Sus scrofa: one gene and its partners. The protein of the gene in region 1 binds, or shares a complex with, the protein of each later gene. Links are inferred from orthologs where the notes say so. Each region holds a gene or a part of one and is shown in the gene's direction. Other genes may lie near its edges. The genes, in order: NMT1, NCS1, HPCA and AIFM3.

The links.
Region 2: the proteins of NMT1 (region 1) and NCS1 are in contact, whole or in part, in a crystal structure (PDB 5O9S), measured with the Homo sapiens proteins. The link is inferred for Sus scrofa from reciprocal best matches to the Homo sapiens genes NMT1 and NCS1. Residues at the interface, in NP_066565.1 of Homo sapiens: Tyr180, Val181, Glu182, Asp183, Asp184, Asp185, Met187, Phe188, Arg189, Phe190, Tyr192, Asn246, Thr282, Ala283, Gly284, Arg295, Tyr296, His298, Ser300, Lys310, Phe311, Ser312, Tyr401, Leu403, Ser405, Tyr420, Gly468, Ile469, Gly470, Asp471; in NP_055101.2 of Homo sapiens: Gly2, Lys3, Ser4, Asn5, Ser6, Lys7, Leu8, Lys9.
Region 3: the proteins of NMT1 (region 1) and HPCA are in contact, whole or in part, in a crystal structure (PDB 7OWM), measured with the Homo sapiens proteins. The link is inferred for Sus scrofa from reciprocal best matches to the Homo sapiens genes NMT1 and HPCA. Residues at the interface, in NP_066565.1 of Homo sapiens: Tyr180, Val181, Glu182, Asp183, Asp184, Asp185, Met187, Phe188, Arg189, Phe190, Tyr192, Ile245, Asn246, Phe247, Thr282, Ala283, Gly284, Tyr296, His298, Ser300, Lys310, Phe311, Ser312, His313, Tyr401, Leu403, Ser405, Tyr420, Gly468, Ile469; in NP_002134.2 of Homo sapiens: Gly2, Lys3, Gln4, Asn5, Ser6, Lys7, Leu8, Arg9.
Region 4: the proteins of NMT1 (region 1) and AIFM3 are in contact, whole or in part, in a crystal structure (PDB 6SJZ), measured with the Homo sapiens proteins. The link is inferred for Sus scrofa from reciprocal best matches to the Homo sapiens genes NMT1 and AIFM3. Residues at the interface, in NP_066565.1 of Homo sapiens: Tyr180, Val181, Glu182, Asp183, Asp184, Asp185, Phe188, Arg189, Phe190, Asn246, Thr282, Ala283, Gly284, Tyr296, His298, Phe311, Tyr401, Ser405, Ile469, Gly470, Asp471, Asn473, Leu474, Leu495, Gln496; in NP_001373743.1 of Homo sapiens: Gly2, Cys4, Phe5, Ser6, Lys7, Pro8.

Annotation. Positions count from the first base shown.
Region 1 is NC_010454.4:18,306,359-18,310,002, reverse strand, and holds the end of NMT1 (glycylpeptide N-tetradecanoyltransferase 1), read left to right. Parts: intron 1-676; coding exon 677-847; intron 848-1,330; coding exon 1,331-1,498; exon of another isoform or gene 1,499-2,433; coding exon 2,434-2,571; intron 2,572-3,219; coding exon 3,220-3,240; 3' UTR 3,241-3,567; downstream 3,568-3,644.
Region 2 is NC_010443.5:270,315,133-270,318,776, forward strand, and holds part of NCS1 (neuronal calcium sensor 1), read left to right. Parts: intron 1-449; coding exon 450-528; intron 529-1,846; coding exon 1,847-1,935; intron 1,936-2,284; coding exon 2,285-2,362; intron 2,363-3,644. UniProt on the Homo sapiens protein: Neuronal calcium sensor, regulator of G protein-coupled receptor phosphorylation in a calcium dependent manner. Directly regulates GRK1 (RHOK), but not GRK2 to GRK5. Can substitute for calmodulin. Stimulates PI4KB kinase activity.
Region 3 is NC_010448.4:89,193,770-89,196,652, forward strand, and holds the end of HPCA (neuron-specific calcium-binding protein hippocalcin), read left to right. Parts: intron 1-2,058; coding exon 2,059-2,164; intron 2,165-2,280; coding exon 2,281-2,378; downstream 2,379-2,883. UniProt on the Homo sapiens protein: Calcium-binding protein that may play a role in the regulation of voltage-dependent calcium channels. May also play a role in cyclic-nucleotide-mediated signaling through the regulation of adenylate and guanylate cyclases.
Region 4 is NC_010456.5:50,561,172-50,565,439, forward strand, and holds the start of AIFM3 (apoptosis-inducing factor 3), read left to right. Parts: upstream 1-1,439; 5' UTR 1,440-1,534; intron 1,535-1,710; exon of another isoform or gene 1,711-2,026; intron 2,027-3,194; exon of another isoform or gene 3,195-3,256; intron 3,257-3,696; exon of another isoform or gene 3,697-3,713; 5' UTR 3,714-3,829; coding exon 3,830-3,860; intron 3,861-4,268. UniProt on the Homo sapiens protein: Induces apoptosis through a caspase dependent pathway. Reduces mitochondrial membrane potential.

The DNA of each region.
Region 1 (3,644 bases):
GAACCACAGGGCTAGAGAGACGGAAGATCACAGCCAGAACAGCCAACTGGTCCAGAGAGTGGAAGTCTCTTTTTGTTTTGTTTTTTTGGGGCCGAAGGTGCGTCACATGGAGGTTCCCAGGCTAGGGGTCGAATCAGAGCTACAGCTGCCGGCCTACACCACGGCCACAGCAATGCAGGATCCTAGCTGCGTTTGCGACCTACACCATAGCTCACGGCAAGGCCGGGTCCTTAACCCACTGAGCGAGGCCAGGGATCGAACCTGCGTCCTTACGGATGCTAGTCAGATTTGTTAACTGCTGAGCCACAACGGGAACTCTGAGGGTGGACGTCTTGTGCTCTGTGTTGGGGAGTTTGGAACAGGGAGGCGTGTGATGGGTTGTTTTTTCCCAGGAACGCGGCCGGGCCCATGTGGATAAGAGATTGACATAGCGGCCTTAGCCAAGGATCCAGCCTTGGTCACGGCCGGAAGGGCCAGTGACCCTGCAGAGACAGGACTGGTGCCTGAGCAGCCGTGGACGGTGGATGGGGATTCTCTCTTGAAGGCGTGGGTGGATAGATTGGGGGTTGGGGTAGGAAGGGAGACAGCGTGAGGTTTTCGGTTCCTGAGGGACTCGAGAGGGAGCCGAGGCGCCCACAGTCAGCATGGCTGATGCTCTCTGGTTTCTTCCTTCCAGACTCCCAAGACAGCTGGGCTACGACCAATGGAGAAGAAGGACATTCCAGTAGTGCACCAGCTCCTCACGCGGTACCTGAGGCAGTTCCACCTCACGCCGGTCATGAGCCAGGAGGAGGTGGAGCACTGGTTCTACCCCCAGGAGAATATCATCGATACTTTCGTGGTGGAGGCAAGTGGTGGTGGGGTGTTCGGGGGCCCCCTCCCAGCTTGTGGGGGGTGTCCTCCCGAAGTGGCCGGCTTCCCGGGCTCGGGACTGAAGAGCAGGTGATGGAGCGTTGGCACCTGAGACGCCCTGACGGGAAGTTGTCGCCTGCCTTTTCTAAAATGAGACTCCGGGCCTGGCGTGAGCCCCTGTCTCCCGCGCCCCTCTGAGTCAGGTGGTCAGGCGAGCCCTCGACCCCCTGCCTGTCCCCGCTTGGCCTGGTGCCGGCCAGGTGTCTGGGGGCCCGTGGCGCGACCTGGATTTTCCTCCCGGTCTGTCCTCAGGTCGATGCGCTTTCTGCCCCTGGGTTTCCGCTGGTTCCGTTCCTGCCCGTTCACTTAGAGGGGCAGGGCTGCCCGAGGGTGGCGAGTGCAGCAGGAGCCACTTTGTTCCCAGGCTGCAGGGCCCTTCGTGTGTGTGACCTGCCTTCCTCTGTTGTCTCCCCTTCAGAATGCAAGTGGTGAGGTGACAGATTTCCTGAGCTTTTACACACTTCCCTCCACCATCATGAACCATCCGACCCACAAGAGTCTAAAGGCTGCTTATTCTTTCTACAACGTTCACACCCAGACCCCGCTTCTAGACCTCATGAGCGACGCCCTTGTTCTTGCCAAAATGGTGAGCAGCAGACGGGCGGGCAGCGGCAGTGGGGCGGTGGGAGCGCCACTGGCAGGTGGCTGCCCCCTGGCTGGGGGCCTGGAGGCCTGGAGGCCTCCTCGCCCTTCTGCTCCGGTAGGGAACAGCCCAGCCATTTTCAGCCTGCAGCTCAGAACTAGGAGGGAGCAAGGACACCCCCACCACAGGCAGGCATTGAACCTGAACCTCCGGATTTCTTTCATGGGTTTCATTCTCACTCGAGGCGCTGCTCGGGGGGGAGGAAAGGGGTTCTCCTCACGCTTCCCCAGCATCCGGCCGGGGAGGCTGGGCTGTCGCGGGGTGTCACTGGAGCAGCTGACCGTCGAGCAGAGGGGTGGGACCCAGGCCTCTTTTGCACTGGAGAGGCCACCAGCCTGTCCGTGTGCCCGCCAAGCAGTGACAGTCCAGTCCCTGCCCTGGGAGAGCTTCCAGTCGAGTTGGTGAGATTGAGGAAGTGTCAGCCTCAGTCTCAGAGTGGCGCTTCAGATGTCATAAAATCCTGAGGAGTTGGGGTGTCAGGGAGTGAGGGAGCCTTGCAAACGCCACGTGGCTCATAGGAGTCCACTTCTCAGAGGAAAAGGTTCAGAAAAGACTGGAAATTACCAGAGTGTTTCAGGGAGGCGTGACAAGGAACAGTGGGAGCACAGCCTGGATACTGAGTACACAAGTGTGCACTCAGAGGGACACTGAGGAGAGGCCAGGTAAGGTGGCGCTCAGAGTGTCATGAGAACCGCCACCAGCGAGTGAGGCCCTGGCTGGAGTCGGGCTGAAACAGGGACGCGGCAGGCGCTGCTGAAGGAGGGTGGCTCCCGAGGCCGCCGGCTCGGTTCGGTTCGGCTGTGATAGAAGAGGGCCCACAGGGGCGGCAGCTCTGCTGTCTTCACCTGGTCTTGTTTCTCCCTGACGCCGCCGCACAGAAAGGGTTTGACGTGTTCAATGCACTGGATCTCATGGAGAACAAAACCTTCCTGGAGAAGCTCAAGTTCGGCATAGGGGACGGCAACCTGCAGTATTACCTTTACAATTGGAAGTGCCCCAGCATGGGGGCGGAGAAGGTACGTGCCGGCCGCGCGCCCTGGGCAGGGAGTTGGCGTCTGCCATGCAGACGGGCCTCGGGGCAGGGATCCAGCATCCGTGGGGCCCTCCCTCTGGAGGCCAGACCAACAGGGTCAGTGTCCCCTTCCAGCCGCTGCTGTGACGGGGGCAGAGGGCACAGGCCCTGGAGCCACAGGAAGCAGGGAGCTTGTCACCAGCCTCTCTGCCCACCAGGTGAGCCGCCTCATCTGACAAGGCTGGGCCTTCGGCCACCATCCTGAGACAGTACCTGAGTCTTGTGCCCACAATTAGCCAGGAAGGGAGAGTCTGAGGAGCCGAGGGGTTTCTCCTCTGCCGCCCCCATCCTGCATGGCCTCCCTCCACCGGCTCCGAAGGGCAGCTCAGGGCCACGGGGTCATCAGCATTTATAGGATAACTGGCCCATGAGCTGGGGGAGGCCTGTGACCGGTGCTTCTCAGGATGCCGATGGCAGCTTTACATCTAAAGCACCACAGAGGTTGTGTGCGAGCCCGGGGCCACCGGGAGTCTGCTCCCACAGCACGGGGCCGTGCTGCTGCTCCGTCATTGGAACTTCAGGTCTGGGCAGGGAAGTGGGACAGTCTTGGGACAATTGTCACATCTCTGCCTTTCCCCCTTGGCTCTCCTAGGTTGGGCTGGTGTTACAGTAATCAGTTGCCAGTGAGATTCTGGATAAAGCCACTGAGAAATGGAACCCCACCACTTGTTGGTCCACTTTTCACAAACGTGAGAATCCCTGGCAAGGGGAGCAGAACTGAACCGGCTTTACCAAACCGCCACTGAACTTGACAATTGTATTGCAATGGCGTAGGCTGCGTGATGTCACCTCTGGCCGTGTCTCTGGTCTCCCTCTTTTCCAATTAATCACACGTTATGCAGCCGTGATCAAGGGAATGTAACTGCTGAAACTAGCTCGTGATTGGCATATTATGGAGTTAACGGGTGAATAATAAAAGGATATATATATTATATATATATATAAATATTTTAAATATCTTTCATGTTCCAAATGTACAAGGATGTTTGGTCTCTAATGAAAAACTGAATCCAGATC
Region 2 (3,644 bases), on another chromosome or scaffold:
CACGCCCTGGCTTTCTCCGCAGGTGGCCCCTGCTGACGGCCACCCTGCCTGGCCCTGGGAAGAACTCTGTCCTCTCCAAGCCTCAGTTTCCTTATCGGCAAAACAAATAGGATCGGACAGTCCAGAGCCCCACCTTCTAAAGCCTCTGTGCCTGTGGTTCAAGGCCAAGGGTCTGAGAGAGGGGATTCTGGGCGGCTCCTGCCCAGAGAGGGTCACGGGCGCTGGGGGTGCCTCTTCCTCCCGCCAGATGTGGAGTCAAGCTCTCCCTCTGGCCTTACCCTGTCCCTCCTGCCTGGTCGGTCCCATTTCTGGCCCTCCCCTCCCCCTCCTTCCCCATCCCTCACCCCTGCGTCTGCTTAGCTACCTGCTTCTGCCCATCACCACCTGCCCAAGGTGCGTCCTGACCGGGCAGCTCAGCATTTACCCCCATCCCTCTCTCCCTGCCGCAGGACGGGCGGATTGAGTTCTCCGAGTTCATCCAGGCGCTGTCGGTGACCTCGAGGGGAACCCTGGACGAGAAGCTGCGGTGTAAGTCCTGCCCGCTGGGCTCCGTCGGGCGGCCGCTGGGTCGTCCTGGGCTGGAGGGAGGCCAAATCTCTGGGCCAGGCCGTCTGTCCAGGACTGAGGGTGGCACAGACGTCCTGCCCTTCCAGGTCGGAGGTGGTTTCCTGGAGGCGGCCAGGCGGGTGGACAGATGGGGCAGGAGCACAGGGCATTCTCGAAGGTGCACCTGGCGCCGGGCAGCGTGCGGTTCAGACCCGGTTCCAGGGCTGGATCCAGCACTCGGGAGGCTGTTTGGATGACTGACGGCGTGTGTCCATTTACTGGTTCACCTAACAGTTATTGACCTAACGTGGCCTCATGTCTGTGCTGGGCTGGAGGCCCGGAATCCACAGGTGTATGAGATCGAGGGGCACCTGCTCTCGTGGCTGTCCCTGTAGCTCAGGGACTTTATCCAAAAGAGCCCATAAAACTGCAGCCGGGGCTGGAAGAGGGAGGTGTGAGCCGATCAGAGAGGAACTGACCCTGTTATGAGTTGGGAGCCGAGCTGGGAAGGGTGAAGCTGGCAGGGGGTCGGGGGGCGGGAAGAGGGTTCCAGGCAGGGGATCAGCATGTGCGAGGCCTGAGGAGGGTCGAGAGAAGGCTACTGGGGGAGAGGCTGCACCCGTGCTGGCGCGAGAGGGGATCTAGCAGGAAGATGAAAGCAGCTGGGCCGGGATTCACTTCCCACTGAGACAACTTCACCGCATCGCATCGGCACCGAGAAAGCACTGCAATTTCTTTCTTTCTCTTTTTAGGAATAAAAGAGGATTTTATTTATGCCAAAGCTCCTCCCCCCTCCCTAGGCATATTATTTTCTTTTCCAAGTTGACCCTAGCTGGATCCAGCATAGTTGTGGAAAGGGGGTGGGCCGAGAGGAGGCAGAGGCAGGGGTGGGGAAGGAGAGGGGTGGCTTTAGGGCTGCTCCTGGGCTCCCTTCTGTCTCTCAGCATCAGCCTCCGAGGCCTCAGCTCTTACAGACCCAGCCCCCTCGGTTTATGTTTTGGCTGTGCCTGCGGCCTATGAAAGTTCCCAGGCCAGGGATCGAACCTGCACCACAGCAGTGACCCAAGCTGCTGCAGTGACAAGGCCAGATCCTTAACCCGCTGCACCACAAGAGAGCTCTGCCCCCTCCTTTTTACATTTACGCTTTTTCAGTAACTAGGTGACATGGTGTGTGTGTGTGTCCCCTGTCTGTCTTGGCGGGATGAATAACGGGGCTGTTGGCGGGGTGCCGAGGGGAGGGGGAGCGGCCGCCAGCCCAGCCCCGGATCAGGGCTCACTCGCCCTGGCTGCTTGACTGCAGGGGCCTTCAAGCTCTACGACTTGGATAACGACGGCTACATCACCAGGAACGAGATGCTGGACATTGTGGATGCCATTTACCAGATGGTGGTGAGAGGCCTGGGCCCTGGGGGTGTGGGGGTGGGGGCAGCAGCAGGGCATCAAACTCAGCGATGGGGCCTGGCCCAGAGGCGGCATCCCCACGCGGCCGCCCTCCTGCCTGGGGTGGGAGCTGGCAAGTGAGGGTCACTGCCTGGGGTTGCTCTGTGCCTCTTGGGGGAGGGCGGGGGCTGCTGATGGGGCTGGTCCAGAGCAGAGGGCGGATGGGGGCACGGCAGGGAGTGGGAGGGAGACGCAGTCTTCACCTGGAACCAGTTCAGGTCTGGGGGGCATGGTTGGGGGCCAAGGGCCCAGAGGGCAGAGGGCCAGGAGCCGGCCCCACCTCGCCTGTCCCCGACAGGGCAACACCGTGGAGCTGCCAGAGGAGGAGAACACCCCCGAGAAAAGGGTGGACCGGATCTTTGCCATGATGGACAAGGTGAGACCCCTGGTGTGATGGCCACTGGTCCAGCCCGCAGACATGCAGGGTTTTAAGTCAGTTCGTCCAACCCTTTTTCCTTAACTCAGCTTCTTAACCTTTTCAGTTTTTGCCACAGACCCCTTTGACATTCTGGAGAAGCTGTCTCAGAATGTTTTTAAGTGCATCAGATAACATTCGTAGGGTCAAAAAGAAAGCTATTTTGGAAGAGACTTATCCCATTTTTTTTGGCCACACCTGTGGCATGTGAAAGTTCCCGGGCCTGGGATTGAACCGGTACCATAGCAGTGACCTGAGCTGCTGCAGTGACACCACCAGATCCTTAACCTTCTGTGCCACAAGAGAATGCCTCAAAATATTTTTTAAAAAGTATTTGTGATGTGGTTTTATATGAGCTGCTTCTTCTTTTTTTTTTTTCTTTTGTCTTTTTAGGGCCGCATCCGCGGCATGTGGAGGTTCCCAGGCTGGGGTCTAATCAGAGCTGTAGCCGCTGGCCTACACCACAGCCACAGCAACGCCAGATCCGAACTGTGTCTTCGACCTACACCACAGCTCATGGCAACGCCAGATCCGTAACCCACTGAGAGAGGCCAGGGATTGAACCTGCAACCTCATGGTTCCTAGTCGGATTCGTTTCCGCTGCACCACGATGACGGGAACTCCCTTTTTTTTGTCTTTTTAGGGCCGCACCTGCGGCATATGGAGGTTCCCAGGCTAGGGGTCTAATCGGAGCTGTAGCTGCCAGCCTACACCACAGCCACAGAAACAAGGGATCCGAGCCACATCTGCTACCTGCACCACAGCTCACGGCAACGCTGGGTCCTTAACCCACTGAGCGAGGCCAGGGATCGAACCCACAACCTCATGGTTCCTAGTCAGATTCGTTAACCACTGAGCCACAACGGTGGCTGATAAGGTTGAGTGGTGGGTTTAACCAGCCCGAATTTCAAAGTGCTGATCTGTCTTCTTGATGCTTTGCAGCAGCTGTGATGTGTTACAAAAATGCTGTGATCTCCACAGCTGACAAAGTCACAGGTACTTCTGGTTCCATGGGGGATTGTCACCTAGATTCATTATGGAAGGAAGCGCTAAATTTCAGTTAGATGTTAGTGAAAAGAAAGACCTCCTTTTTCCCTATTTTAGTTCACAGACCTGCTGAATTCTATCCAAAGACCCCAGGTTAAGAAAGCCTTCTTTTTTTTTTTTTTTTGTCTTTTTAGGGCTGCACCCACGGCTTATGGAGGTTCCTAGACGAGGGGTCGAATCAGAGCTATAGCTGCCG
Region 3 (2,883 bases), on another chromosome or scaffold:
AGATGACATCTGAGAGTCCCGGGGACTGAAGGGCAGGGAGGACCTGAGGATGTGGTGGATGAATAATGATTATGATATTAGCTGCTATTTACTGACCACCTAGTCTTGCCAACTATCCAACCCTAACTCCCTTATCAGGATAGTCTAATACTCTATATATCCTGATAAGGGAGTTAGGATTGCCCCATTTTACAGATGAGGAAATTGAGGTTAAGTACTTGCCCAAGGCTACACAGCAAGTGATTAGCGGAATCAGGATGCCACTCCTTGTCCGCCTTACTTCAAACACACTGCTTGGAGGGGTCATCAGCATCCCACAAGCACCTAACCAGCCGCTAAGAGGAAGCAGGTTCTAATCTGGTCTCTGTCATCAATTCTCTTTCTGAGCCTCAGTTTCTTGTCTCGATCTCAATACCTGCTTTTCAGAGCTGTTGCAAGCATGAGAATAATGCATGTTAAGTCCCTTGCACATAGTAGGGGTCTGTAAATGGTAGCTAGTGTTATTGTTCCAGGCAGAAACTGTAAATGCTGGGAATCCTGAAAGGCACAGGGGTGTCTGGTTGTGGCAAAATCACTTACGGGGGGAGGCCTGATGGAGAGGTCAGCAGGGACCAGAGTGTGAAGTGCCTTGAATGCCAAGGGCCAAATGTTTGGACTTGGTAAAGGAAGGCAGTGGGAGGTGCCAACAGCTTTTAAACAAGGGAGTCCCTGCCAGATGCCAGGCACTGTGCCTACGTTCTGGGGATCTGAGCACTAGCTAGATGTCCACGGTTCTCATCTGTATGCTGGGGGCAAGGAGCACTCCTACAAAGGCATAATTTCTTCGGCGAGGCGTCTCCAAAGGGGACTCTGGGGCAGCGTATGGGCCCTGACCCACCCTGGATCAGAGGAGGCCTCCCTAACAAAGCACCATGTAAAGAGAGCCCCAAGGAGGAGTGGGAGGCAGCAGAAGGAGCGTGGGGCAGCATCCAGAAGGAGCCGGGTGCAAGGCAGTCCTGGAGGGAGGCCTGTGTAAGATGGGAACGAGGGGGCGGCCCCTGGGCTAGGGACTTGCTGATGGAGATCTGCGTTTGGGAAACGCTTTCAGAGGCAGCGTAGGGAACAGACCCGAGGGAGAGAGGCCAGAAGAGACCACTGCGGGAGGCCAAAGCCGAATCTGAGGCTAGGGAAGTTTATGGGACAGGAGAAGAAGGCAGACTTCTTGGAGGTTTCAGTAGTAAAAAGCTGGTAGAGTGAGATGACCGGTCTGGTCCTTGAGCTCTGGGCCCCAGGACCCAGCCCACAGACCAAGCCCTACGTGCTCGGTGTACACTTACCGCGAAAATCCCTCCTTTGAGTCGCCTCCAGAGCTCCTGCACCTGGCAGCTGCGGTCCTGGGCCCAGCACAGCCCAAGCTCTCCTCGCCCCCAGCAGATGCGCCTATGCGTTTATTTGCGTTATATCCCCGCTCCCCGTGGGCCCAGCAGCCTCAGGCCCCCAGCCCTCAGGGCGACCCTGCGCCCCCTGCTGGCCAGAGTGGCATCGCAGCCCAGTGCCACCACCCCCACCTTGACCAGCGCCCCCTGTCGGCCATCGAGTGCGGGCCTTTTCCTGGAGCCCTGGAATTTCAGAGTAGTTCTTCGAACCTGGTACTTAACCCGGTACTTGTGGCGCTTGGCAAGAGCTCCTAAGTCCTGGGTGCCAGGCCCTTCGCCATCTGGGCCCCGATGTCCTCCAGCATTTCTCCTGACCGCCTGCATTCAGCCACCTCCAAATTCCCAGCGCCCACTCAGAGCTTCCCGCTTCGGGGCCTTTGTACACGCAGATCTCTCTGCCAGCAATCCCTTTCCCACCGAGTGCCCCGAGGAAACTTGGTCCGGGCCAGCTCCAAGAGCCCCCTCTTCTGGGAAGCCATCCCAGTCACTCCTTCCCCAGTTACCCACGCCTCCGTCACCCCCCCTCCGCCTCACCACGGCGGGAGCAGCGATCGTCGGCACAGCTGGAGGCGTTTTGCAAAGTTGGGGGTGGAGGGTTCAGGCAGGCTCCCCTCACTCCCTGCCTTCCCCACCCAACCCCTAGGCCATTTACAAGATGGTTTCTTCCGTGATGAAGATGCCAGAGGACGAGTCGACCCCGGAAAAGAGGACGGAGAAAATCTTCCGCCAAATGGATACAAACAACGACGGTGAGGAGGCCGGGGCGGGGCGGGCGCCACTCCCCCTTCCTCTTCTGCGGTCCTGCTCTGCGTCCCCTCTCTTTGCTGCCGCCTTCTCCCCCATCATTGCGCCCCTTGTCTCGCAGGCAAGCTGTCCCTGGAGGAGTTCATCCGCGGGGCCAAAAGCGACCCGTCCATCGTGCGTCTGCTGCAGTGCGACCCCAGCAGCGCCTCCCAGTTCTGAGCAAGAGGAGCCGGGTTTCCCCTCCCCGCCGTCACTGGCCCTCTCCCGGCTCTCAGCTTCCTCGCCCTTGTGTCTATTCCAGGCTGGGGTCAGATTGCCAGCCCCAGGGTCTGCCCTCTGGGAAGCCTACGGAGAAAGGAATCCTGCAGTCCCCTCAACGTCCAAGCAAGCCGGTGGTTAGCAACGCCCAGTTCAAGAGTCAGTCTCTCCCTTGGCACTGATAGACACAGGCTCTGGCTTGGTCTGCCCCTCGGAGTCCACCCTCCCTTACCTAGATACCAGAACTCCAGCCTCTCCCTCGCCCCCACCAGCCATGAGGCCAGACTTCCCTTCCCCAGCCATGGGGCAAGCTCCCTCACGTCTACCCCCACCCTGGTAGATCTCAGCCTTGGTGGAATTGGGAATCATACCCAGGTAAGGAGCGTGTTCTTTATTTGGAGCCGAGAGAAAGATTCTAGATGTGTGGGGGTTTGAGGAAAAACCTTCCTTGAGCCATCCTTCCTCC
Region 4 (4,268 bases), on another chromosome or scaffold:
CTCACCTGTCATGGTGTCTTGGAGGCAGCCTGAGCTAGAGGGCATTGCAGTCACCCCCAGATTCTTGGGGAACCCAGGGAAGAAGGGGTTCACTGACTCACAAAGGTCACAGATTAGGACTGAAACTGCATTGGAGACCCTGCAGCCTTGGCCAGCTGGCCAGCCAGGACCTACATCTCTGCCCTGCCTCTCAGTAGCAGTGTGGCTTTGCAGAGTCTCTAACTTCTCTGAACCTCAGTTTCCACATCTGTGAAATGAAGATGGTACTGAGAACCTTCCTCCTTGGCTGTTGTGAAGATCAGAGGAAGAAGTGCAAGCTAAGCCACAGCCATGGTTATTTATGGGGCACACTGCATTCCTGACTAGGGGGCTGTTGGAGGTGGGTAGGGCTGCAAGGTCAGCACACGTGTGGAGCAGGGACAGGCTCTTTGGAGGCCAAGGCCACCAGGCTCAAGCAACACCATCTGCCCAGTGACAGCAGGACTCCTGTGACCGTGGCAACAATCTTGCTATGGAAACCTAACATGGCCTCAGAGGGATGGATTGAGCAGAGCTGCCTGTCCCTCCAGGCCTCGCCCCACACCCACCTGCAGCGTGTGACCCACGTAGACCCTGTTCCTGCCCCTGGTGTGATTCAGCCTCCCTGAGATTCCCCTTCTGTAAAATGAGGGCAGTTGTACTTGCCCCCTGGGCTGCCACGGAGGCTGGTCAGCCTGGCACAGGGGACTGTTGCTACTGTCCTTGTCGTCCTTACCTAAGGGGAGCAAGGCCCAGAAAGGGGGAGATGGCAAAGCTAACAAAGGAGCAATGATGACAGGACAACAGTTGGTGGCCCCATGTGCTTAGTGCTGGATGAACCACCATGTCCTGGAACACTTGCTTCTTTCATCTCCCACATGGTCACTGAAACCCGGTTTGCTGGAGAGACAAACCCTACCTGAGTTCAGCGCAGAGATCTGGACAGCATAAGGAAACCTGAGGGGCCAGGAGCCAAGCAGCAGGGCTGAGACAGTCTTGGAAGGCTGCTGGAAGAGTTTCTTGGAGGAGGGGACACAACTCCCAATGCACCATTGTAATTTATGAATATAACGTTCTCCTGGTATAATGACAAGTGGGAAAGAGAAAATGTAACCAAATATAAAGTAGAACGTTCTGCGTGTGGACAGAGCAGAGGGGAGGACAGCTGGCCAGGGTGTCTTGGGCCGTCAGGAGCTGTTTGGTTTTTCTTTCTTGGGGAGGTTTCTGCGGGTGATTCAACTTGCCCCACACCGCCCGCAGACGTTCTGAGAATTGGGAAAGAAAGAAAAGGAAAAAGACTGGAGCTCGGCCCAGCATGGCACCCCTTGGGGTCGCGAAGATGCCGGCGACCCAGACCCGTCCGGGCGCCTGCGGCCTTCCCCCGCCCCCGCCCCGCCCAGCGTCCCGCCCGGGCGCCCCATTTGCACCGGTCGCCGGGCCGCAGTGTCGCCGCAGCGCCGGCCCCGCCCCGCCGCGGCCCCAGCGGCTCCGGAGCGGACGCCCGCGCCGAGCGCAGGTGAGCCCGCGGGTCCGCCCGGGCCGGCACCCGCCCCGCCCCGCGCCCCGGGCTGGCCCGTGGGGGACTGGGGGGCGGCCGCCCGGAGGGGAAGGGCGGCCCGGGCGCCCCCTTCCTTCTCCCCTCCCCCGCCGTGCCGCCCGCTCGCCGCGGGGCCCTACTGTGTGCCAGTCGCCTTCCTGGGCTGCCCGGCGGGTCCGGGAACCTGGCCGGAGCGGGAAGATGGCTGGCAAGGGCTTCGGGGAGCAGGGCTACGCGCAAAGGCGGGAGACTTGCCCTGAGCCCCGAGGGGTAGGAGGGAAGGGCCGCAGCCCTCAGGACGCCGGGAGCCACTGAGGGCGGGAGCGGCAGGAAGGAACCCCTCAGGGTGCGCCTGAGAAGGGCCCAGGGATCCCCGGAGAAGAGCAAGTCCGGGGCTGAGAGGGGAGCAGTTTTGCCCCACCGGCACCGCTGGGCCCTGGGACTGGTCCAGGGACAAGACGCCGGCTCCTGGTAGGTAGTTAGCACTGTTATAGCTTTTTGGCTTTGGGTAGTGTGTGGACAAGGGACAGCACTCCAGAAACTTGGGGTACCCTCTCCTGGTGCCCCTGGCCAGGACCTTTGCCTTGAGTAGGGACATCTGGAGGTAGGAGGCTCCATGCCAGCCTGGCACTCAGTAGGCCTGGAGGTTTAGTCCCTCAGTAGGCCCAAGACCCTGGAGGGAAGACACCTGGTCCCCAGGAAAGGGAGGGAGCCGCATGCACAGGCACCTGGTGGCAAATTGAAGTCCCACTTTTTCTGGAATCTGTGGCCCAACAGTGAGGCCTGAGGCCAGGCACGAAGGTGGCAGGCAGGGCAGAGGCAAAGGGACAGCCAGGATCTGGGGAGGGGCACCCTCATGCCAGGGAGGAGCAGGTGGGGCAGGTGGTGGCTCAGTTTTACAGACCTGCCTTGGGGGAAGGAGCATGGGTGCGCCCAGGTGGCCTTCAGTTGACACTGCCTCCTCACCTGTGATGGCCCTCCAGGGCAGGTGACACCAGGGGCCAGGCAATAGACAAGCCTTCTCCAGCCTTTCCTCCCTCTTGGCTCCCTGCTCTCAGACACCCACCCAGGCCCTTGAAGAAATCTGGAGAAGACCAGGTGGGCCTCAGCCTGCCGAGGTCATGTAAACAAGGCAGCTACGCCTTTGTCCTGGGCCTTCCAAAGTCCAGTGTGGAAGCTGCATCTTCCAGAAGGCCCACCCTGTGGCCTTGAGAGGTCCTTGGCTGCGGGGCTTCCTTTGTTGACAGGGTGGCCTCTTCCCCAGCCCCATGGCTTGAGGGAACAAACTAAGATGGGAGGGGTTGGAAGGCCACCTGGATGCCCCTACCTGCTGCTTGACCTTGGCAAGCCCTTGGCCCCTCGGTTTCCTGGGCATGACCTCAACACCAGGGGCATTTGTGAAGAGCAGAGGAGTAGGGTAGAAGCCAGGGCTGTGTGCCAGGCCTCCTTTTCCCCCAAGCCCATCAGGCCCCGGGCTGGCTGCCCACTTCTGTTCACATGGAGCTGGGTTTCCCTGGGGACCAGTGGCAGGGCCCAGCCCCGCCCCCAGCCCCTCCTGGCCACAGCTCACACTGGGAGGAGGGGTGGAGGCTGAGCTGCCTGGTCTCCTGGACCCCTGCCCCCTTGCCCTGCCTTCCAGGGCCGGGCAGCTTGGTCTACCGTGGGGCTGGGAACGAGAAGCAGTGGCTGTCCTTGGAGGAGGTGGGTATCAGGGCTGACAGCCAGGGTGGGGCCAGGGCCAGGGAGAACTAAATGTCACCCCTATGGAGGAGGAACCTACAGGATCCCTAGGATCAAGAAGGCTCTGGTCTGCCAAACTGACCCAGGCTGGACCCCAGGCATGTGGCCTCCCTGGAGAGGGGAGAGTCCTAGAGTGCCTAGACCACAGGCTTTTAGAGGGCAGCAGAGGTGGGCAGATTTCCTGGACCTAAAGGGCAGCTGAGGTTGGAGCAGAGGGGCCCAGGCAAAGGGGGAAGGGAGGGAGGGTGCTGAGCTTAGGGGGCCTGGAAGCGGGGTTTCCTCTGGGACCCGGCTCCCCTACACACCAGGGTCCCAGCTCCTAGGCAGGCCTCTTTCAGAAGTCCCCCACTCTCTTTCTGTGCCTCTGCCCTCAGGCCTCATCAAAGCCCTCCTCCCCATAGATGCTGTCTCCCCGCAGGTCCTCGAAGCAGCTCCGACCTCTCTAAGGGCCTCAGAAGGTCCTGCCCCCTGGGGCACCCTAGGCCTCCCACGGCCCACCACCTCTGCACCTGCCCTACCCACAGGCCACTCGCCATGGGCGGCTGCTTCTCCAAGCCCAAGCCAGGTACCTCCTTTCTTCTTCCTCCTCCCCCTCCTGCCACCGTCCTCCTCTCCCTCCCCCTCTGTCTCCAAAGTAGGTCAGGCTGGGCAGGCAGCAGCTCCCTCCGAATGTTAACACTAAGGGCAGGCGTGGGGTGAGGGGGCAGTCACTGAAGCCCTCTTTCTCTGGGGCTTAGGGTGCTGGTGGTGGAAATAACAGCAAAATCTTTCTCAGAAAGGGGAGACGTGTTCCTCCTGCTGCTGAGTGGGGGCAGAAGATGCTGTCTCCCTCAGGGTGGGGGAGGGTGGCTCTGGGGACACTGTGAGCCCCTGTGTGACCAGAGCATGTATTACCCCTCTGAGCCTCCTCCCCCTCAAAAGAAGCCTGAGTTCTCAAAATTGCCGTGAGGTGGAGGGGGGGATATGTCCTGGC